Daphnia pulex: one gene and its partner. The protein of the gene in region 1 interacts with the protein of each later gene in a biochemical or structural test. Links are inferred from orthologs where the notes say so. Each region holds a gene or a part of one and is shown on either strand. Other genes may lie near its edges. The genes, in order: E3 ubiquitin-protein ligase MYLIP-like and protein seele-like.

Evidence for each region.
Region 2: the proteins of E3 ubiquitin-protein ligase MYLIP-like (region 1) and protein seele-like form a complex in vitro, tested with the Homo sapiens proteins (2 studies listed by BioGRID). The link is inferred for Daphnia pulex from reciprocal best matches to the Homo sapiens genes MYLIP and CNPY2.

Annotation. Positions count from the first base shown.
Region 1 is NC_060027.1:2,177,899-2,182,304, reverse strand, and holds E3 ubiquitin-protein ligase MYLIP-like, read right to left. Parts: upstream 2,853-4,406; 5' UTR 2,618-2,852; coding exon 2,516-2,617; intron 2,438-2,515; coding exon 2,211-2,437; intron 2,144-2,210; coding exon 1,891-2,143; intron 1,830-1,890; coding exon 1,633-1,829; intron 1,559-1,632; coding exon 1,066-1,558; intron 994-1,065; coding exon 771-993; intron 708-770; coding exon 670-707; 3' UTR 439-669; downstream 1-438. Other genes in the region: programmed cell death protein 5-like, read left to right, coding at 56-264; arf-GAP with Rho-GAP domain, ANK repeat and PH domain-containing protein 3-like, read left to right, coding at 4,267-4,406. UniProt on the Homo sapiens protein: E3 ubiquitin-protein ligase that mediates ubiquitination and subsequent proteasomal degradation of myosin regulatory light chain (MRLC), LDLR, VLDLR and LRP8. Activity depends on E2 enzymes of the UBE2D family.
Region 2 is NC_060024.1:9,048,693-9,052,284, reverse strand, and holds protein seele-like, read left to right. Parts: upstream 1-1,420; 5' UTR 1,421-1,617; coding exon 1,618-1,750; intron 1,751-1,902; coding exon 1,903-2,018; intron 2,019-2,183; coding exon 2,184-2,219; intron 2,220-2,337; coding exon 2,338-2,511; intron 2,512-2,618; exon of another isoform or gene 2,619-2,634; coding exon 2,635-2,820; 3' UTR 2,821-3,046; downstream 3,047-3,592. UniProt on the Homo sapiens protein: Positive regulator of neurite outgrowth by stabilizing myosin regulatory light chain (MRLC). It prevents MIR-mediated MRLC ubiquitination and its subsequent proteasomal degradation.

The DNA of each region.
Region 1 (4,406 bases):
TAAAAAATTTTAAGCTTTTTTTGTGTTATTTTATTATTAATATTTTGTTTCACAGTAAACACTATTAGGATTGCCAAACCTGAAAAAGCAGCTATGGTGGAAAACTTGCTAGTGAACATGGCAAGACGAGGACAGATTGGAGGTCAACTTGGAGAAAATGAGCTAAAAGGCCTGCTGGAGCAAGTCAGCCAGCAAACCAAACAAGAAACGACCGTCAAATTTGACCGAAGGCGTGCAGCTCTCGATGACGAAGATGACGATTGATTGAATGCAAAGCTGTAGGTTCTTGAAAATCTCCTTTGTTCTGTATATATATACTTTCATTTTTGATTCTTTGTCAAATGAGTGGAATACACAATCTTGACCCTCTTTTTAAATAGCCCAATGACTTGTTGACACTGAATAATTGAATCATAGCCAAAGAATTAACAGAGTAGGTGAAATGTAAAGCATAATTTATCAGCCTCTGGAAAAATTCAAATTGGAAAATACAAAGCCATCACATAAAGTTAGTTGTACAAATACAGAGGTATTTAAAGTAAGTGAAAACAAAAACGGATCAAGCCGCTCTTTTTCCGCCAAATTACGGATCACAGAAGTCACGTAGTTTGCATTGAAGTACGAAATATATCAAAGTTGGGTTAGGGGGTAGCGCAAGTAGATAGACCGTTAGACCTCGATTTCGTATTGCTCCAATCGTTTGTTTCCTAACCAAAAAAACGTATTACGTCACACATGTGCATATAGATTAAACAAAGAACTAAAAATACCATTGTTCATTGTGAATCCTTCCTTAACGACCGACAAAGGTAAAAAAATAGGCTGCGTATGATTGGCTGGAGCTCGGCACACCGGGCACTGAACGCAACGCTTTGCGCATGAAGAGCAAGCAACGGCGTGTCCGCAAGGACAGAACACTGCCGAAATATCATCATCCATACAAATGCGACAGAGAAGAGCTTCCTGCAGACGACTGAATTGTTCTCTCGTAGTCTATCAACAATAAACAAAATAAATTGTAAAAATGTAATCTAAAATCGTTCAACCCAATAACCGTCTACGTACTTTGCACGAAACGTCAGAGCATGATGTAAGTCCTGTAGGAAAACTCAAGGAAGGCGATGACGGAGCAGGAACTTGTGTATCCCCAGCTTGATAAAGGATCCGTCTAGCATTGTCGTAAACTTCCCGACAGGTGCGTTGAATGTCAAAAATATACTTTTTTCCTGCAAGATAACAAATATCGTGGGTTGACATAGGTGAATTGAAAAAATAAATAAATAACGATTTCGTGGCGCTACCAAGATCTGTGTTTTCGTTGAAGAAAGACGCAATAGTTCCTTTTAAATCTCGCACGAATTGCGACGTCACGGCGCTACGTACAGTTTCGCAACTATAAAATGCATGTTTTTCAGTTATGGACCGATACAGCGCGATTGATGCCTGATAAGTCTCTAACTTGAGTGAGGCGCACTCGACTCCACCGAGGTCATTCCGATGCTTCAATAAAAATCGCACATTATGATTCGTGGCAGCTTGAATTGCACAGAACGGGACGCTATAAGGGAAAAACAGATTTTTTTTTTGTTTCTATTTCGATCATTTGAATAGCGAATTAAAAAAGAACTATACCTCAAGCGATGTTCGCTTTCAAGACTTGTTATGCATACACCTTGTGGGCTTACTGCTACGGTACTTTGTACCGATTCTCGCATAGATGCACTGTGTTCGGCAAGAATCCAACGTGCCCGAAACGTTTCGGTACCGTAGTCTTTTAATTGGCTGACTTCTTTCAACATCCAATACTCGGCCAAAGTGGAAGACATACCCTAAATTCATAACAACAATGTTGATAATGGTTCCAAATGATTGCTTTAGGAGGGCAGCAACCTTTAGGGTTTGGTGTTGTTGAAGGATTTTGGCTATCCACTCATCCCTGCTGGCTTGAAATGATTCAAGGTCTTTAACAGTCACATGAGGGAAAAAACTGAGTAAGTAAGACTCTGTTTGGCAGGGCATTCCTGTTGCATCTCCCATTTCCGATTGAGCTACAAGAGCACAAATTCTAACTGTAGCTGCTGGTTCTGTTACTGATAACCTGCCTTCAATCAAATCAACTTTGGCTTGCAGATAGAACTGATGCCTAATTTTCAATCAAATTGTTCAAATGGCTGAACATATTGTATTGTGATAAAAAATATTGGTTTTGCCTTGTGGATTCCTGCAAGATGAGATGAGGTGGAACCCAGAATTTTACTTTCAATCTGAAACGGATGGCTGCAGGTTTGCTTCCATCAGTGGAGGTCGGTCTGAAAGGATGAGCATGTATTTCTTGTCGGATTTCATTTCTCAGGTTCAGCCAGATTTCTTCTTTTCTGACTGTTGTGAACTGGAGGCCAAAGTAATCTGATTCAATAATTCCAAGCTTTTGACAGACCTAAAAATATTTTGAAAAAAAAAACATTAAAACTCAGATCAAAAAAATTTTTACATTCAGAAAAGTAATTTGTTTCACCTGACTGAGACACTCCTGCCCCGTGGCTTTGTGACTGAGTCGTACTTCTATTACCAAATCTGCATTTTTCGTTGCGTTCGGCTGGGATACCAGACACCACATTTTCTACTTCGTTAATCAGATGTGAATTGAAGAAATTTTGCAATGAATTTAAGTTATAAGGAGAAAATAAACATCAAACAGCACGCCTCGGTTTCTCATCGAAAAATAATCAAGAATAGCTTCTTCTGCTTGTTTTTTTAGGTTTTAAGGGAAAAAATGGGAGGGGAAAACAGCTGATACGGTTGCTAGGCCGTTCTCCAACCAATCACCACGGTTTATCCAGCAGATTCGGACCGCCTTAAAGAACACAATTTGAAATTGCGTACACGCCCTTTATAAACGTATACACTATACACGGTGGGGAAATGGTTGGAGTTACCACAAAGGAAATGCAACGAAATGGACAAGCATATATGGACATTACGAACGGAAGGGACTATGGTGCATTACGCAGGTCTTTTGGAAACAATTATTTTAAAAAGAAAAAGAAAACTGTTGAAATTTGCATGAAATTTTATTTTGAATCACGACTTTCTCTAGCAATTTCCCACCTTTCACAGTGCAGATAGAAAGCTATAGGGGGAAACCTCTTGGTCCACTTCCCATTGAGGTGTCGAAAAAATAAAAAGGAAGAAAAATATTTGAAGCACAATCAAAATGCCACGAGGATATTTGATCTCAATTCCATGCAGATAAAAAAAAGGAAAGGGAATTCCCGTAAGCCCAGACTTGGATTGGTAAAAACACTAAATTCCCTTTTCCCTCTACCAATCTTCTTATCAATGATAACGTTAACCTATGAATGCTCCCAGTTCAGTAAACATATGCCAATCCGACACATATTAGTGTCACTGTCGGTACTCTTCTACAAGTCTTAGAGTACACGGGGCTTTATACTTATCTCACAAGGAATAAAAACGTTTGTAAAAATGCAGAGTACATTATAAGAGTGCGATGTAATAAATCTATTTGTTTTTTAAAAAGGAGAGATACTCGAACCGGGGTTTTTTCCCTTGTTTTACGTGACAAGGGCGTTTTTAACGACACGAGATCTGCTCACTTTCATTGCCGCTCATCGTCTCTAATTTCTTTAGACATATTCATTACATATTCATTACATTTTCAGGATAACATGTTCGTTGGATTGCTGCTACATCCCATTTTAATGAAGAGTATACCAAGGCGTTTCTCTAAGAATTTCATAATTATTGACACAATGAATTCAAGTGAAACTAAACGAAAAGCTAAAACAGCGTTTATTTGCACGCTGACGGATGTTAAAACAGATACGCGCTGATGCGCATTCTGTAGGTTGCTGCAACACCCACTTTTCTAACGCTTCTTCAGTTCCGCAAGTTTACCATTCTTTGGCAAACAAAAATAAAATGCGCAACCACTATGACAAGGCCGTATTTGATGACCAGAATCCAGAAAGTTGAACCTCGGTTTCAATGTAATATGCGTAATGCGTATCTATGTGTATGAATGCCCTTTGATGAATCACTCCGCTCATCTGTGTGTTGTTGAATCATCATTCCGCTCAGCATTCTCACCAGATGGCATTCGTTTCTTGTCAAAACCAAAACAAAGGTGTGGGTTAGTAACTTCGTACGAAACTTCAGATAAAAAAAGGAATTGTTTCGTGGTTAGTTTTTAACATACTAGTGTGACACCGTGATCAACGTACCTACTTAACTATTTGGCTACAAATGGCCTACGAGCAGGAAGACCTTTACGAGAATGTTGTCTTCCGGAATTCACAAATCGTTTACCCCCCAGATATGGCCAGCAACTTGACTCCAGCTACTGCTGCCGATTCAAGGATGTTTCGGCTAGATTCCCGGCAAGA
Region 2 (3,592 bases), on another chromosome or scaffold:
GATCATCGTTGCACGGACGGAAATGGCCAAAAAAAGGTCTACCCCAAAAAATAAAAAGACTCAAATTCCGCCCCCTTAATAATCCAACATACTGTACATACATCTATCCTATTAATAAGTTGATCCACCCCACCGGAATCAAAAAAGAAATAAAAGATCGATGAGGAGAAGAGCGCAGGTTCCGCAAAAATAAAAAAATAAAATAAAAAATTTCGCGGAAAAATTTCCCCAGCCAAATGACGTCAGCAAGTTGCTGCTGGATCAACTTTGACCTTTCCAGAAAATGTGCGCAAACTGCGCACGCGCTTGTTTATATACACACACAGCCGGCACAGCCAGCCATCCAGCCAGCCAGCGCTGGATGCTGTGGATTATTAGACGATGCGCATGCCAAAAGTATATAGACGCCCTAATATTATACATCCAGCTCTATATAGCTGCCTGTGTGTGTGTGTGTCTTATATACATCGACCATCACCGTCACGTATTTCTTCTTTTTCTCTTTTCTCTTTCCACCCTTTTCCTGTATTTAGCTTCTTCCTTCATCATTTTCTTCCGTTTCCGTTCACATCTCTCCCGACGCTGATTTCAACCTCGTTACGCCATTACGTCTATGCTCCTGCTGCTCCCGCTCCTGTGTATACACGACGTCGACGTAACGGGGGCACAGATAGTAAAAGACGTTTCCGATTCGCACCCTCTAGCGTCTGTTTGTATATATAACTCTTTTTCTTTTTCTCTTTTAGGAATATAATACTAGGCAACACATATGGCTCAATACTATTATATATACTCGATCGAGTTGAGTTGCATCAGCTGTTATTTTTAAATGATGATGATTATGTTGGACGACAGCAGAGATCTTCGATGAGTGCGGGTGATAATAATGGCGCCGACTGGGATGTGCCTGGGCCAAGTGCGAGATCCTTTTTCTTTTTTTTCTCTCTCTCTATGTGCTGGCCGTCATTATTAGAGATAATCCCAACAGCTGATGGCAATAATGAAAGGCTTTTTTATTTTTTCCTGGATAAGAAGAAAGTTTCGGCGCTCTGTGCGTTTGGACGGTGACGTTTTCTTCATCCCGTCACTGACGTCAATTTCGGGCTCCATCAACTCGAGACTGTCTCAATGGCGATAATGGCGAGAGAATAGAGAAGAAAAGCCAAACAAACTTTTTTCTTTATCCCGATTCAGTCGACGGGAAGAAAAACGATGAAAAACGACACGTTCCCCCCCGACCGTCTTGTATTTTTATTTTATTTTTCTCTCGATAGACTCTAGGCTTTTCGTTAGCTTATGGCTTTTTCGGGCTTTTGACGCGAGTAGTAGTAGTAGTAGTATAGTAGGTTAGATACACACATAGAGGTGTTGGTGGGTGTGGATTAGAAAAAAGACCCGCCCTCGACAACGTCGCCATGGCTACCACGTCGTCAGCTTTTGACAGATGTCGATGTGTTCAAATGTGATTCGCCGACCAGTTCCAGTGCTTTTTTCTTTTACGTTATTCTTTTCTCCTTTATTTCGACTGGGTTTTTTCACGAGTGTTGTCCTTTTTCCTCCGTAGTTGTGCCAGTTTTATTTTTTGTTTAGTCTATTTTAGTTGGCAGCTCTTTTTAAATGTTGGAAATGAAATTGTCTGTCTTTGTTTTCGTGTTCGTGGCCGCATACGTCACAGCTAATGAACCTGATTATGCCAACGGGAATTTCGATGTTCCTTCCGTGCCGAAAAGAGAAATTCTGAGATGCATGGGTAACTTTTATAATACATCAATAATCACCTCTGTTTCTACTTCTAGCGATTTCCTGGCAGTGTTTCTATCACAGCAGCCAGCAATTAGTTCCATGTTTTCCTTGATACAGCATACTAAAAACCCTTTGCTAATGTTCCTTTCTTTATTACAGTGTGCAAAGCGTTGGTGGATGAAGTGGAAATAGCTGTTGATAGAGTGGACCCTCACAAAAAAGTTGACATGGGCAGTTTCCGCCTTGACGGAAAAGGAAACGTCAAACAAAACTTGGTAACTTACATTCTAATCAAGTAATTCATATCAAACATCTTGAATTCACAGCACACATATTGTGTTACTGACATGTTCTTGGTCAGTTTCAAGATGTTTTCAAAACCACAACAACCTGTTTTATCGTAGATGAGATAACCAAGAGCCACCTATCATTTGTTACAGGTACCTTATGCACGCAGCCAGCTCTTCCTCTCTGAGGTTGGTTCCACATTCTCCTCTTTCTCCCATGTTATATAACTCAAATAATCAGCAAAAAAAAACTGCAATGGCTGGACTCATCATCACACATAAATGAACAATCTAATTTGATGACTAGGTCATGGACAAGGTCTGCCCGATGTTCAGGAATTACGTCGTTGCCAATTACAAAGCCACTGGTAGGCCGACGCTCTTGAGAATTGAAACTCCAGACGGGAAAGGCATGAATCCCGAGATGAGCAACGTCAATATCGTTCCCAATCCCGAAGTGAACGAGCAATTATCTTCCTACGTAAGATTGGAAATTTGATTTATGCAGTTTATATTGTTTGACACCATATCTTAAATGATAACGAAACGTATACATCTCATTTTGTTATTGTTTTTTCGGGGGGGGGGGGGGGGGTTTATATAGTGTCAAGGTTTAGTCGAGGAATACGAAGATGAAATCGTGTCCATGTTCGCCAAAAGCGAGAAGCAACTCCACCAAAAGCTTTGCGTTCAATTGGCCGAGGTCTGCCCCAGAGATGCGGTCCCCGACTCGGACGATTCCAGTTCCGAATCCTCGGAGACTTACGATTTCGAACGCGAAGAATTGTAATTTTGTGATTGATTTGGTTTTTCTAAGGAAAAAGGAAACTCCAACCCCCCCACAAAAAAATGAATTATAAACATCGAGATATAAACGAGAAGTATAATTCTATTTAATTATTATACCAAAACTGATGGTAAACTACTGCCCACTAATATTTTGCTCTCGTTATTTAATGTATTTTTTGATCGAATTATGTAGGATTATAATAGTTAAAAGATTTTTATCCATGAAACATTGTTTGAAAGTCTATGGGGGGGTTAATTCATAATCATAATGGATGGGAAAAAGGAAAACAAATAAAGGGGGGTGTACGTAAGCCGAAGAGAAAGATCCTTTTCTTTTTTCTTTAGTCTTCTTCTCATTACAAACGACAGGTAAATGTATAATTATAAGTAAATATATCGAGTGGTGGTGGTGGTGGTGACGAATTCGGGCGGGGGGTTGTCAGGGCACGTTATAATATAATATGCTTAAATTGTTTTTTTCTTTTATATGCGTGTAGTAAACATCGATACAGAGGGTGGAGGGTGGTGGGGAGGAGAGGTGAGTGTGTGGGGTAAACGTTTTTTGTCTTTTTTCTTCCAGGAAACAAGAGCTATGATGTAATATCAACACAGATAGGGCAATTAACTCTTATTGATCAAGTTTATATAAAGCCCGATGTTGAAACGAGAGTTGGAAAGATTAGAAGGAGAGCGAGAGAACCAGTTGTCAAACGATATCGGGTTCTCACAGATTCTTGGGAGAGGAGACGAAAACAGATGATGAAGAAGAAGAA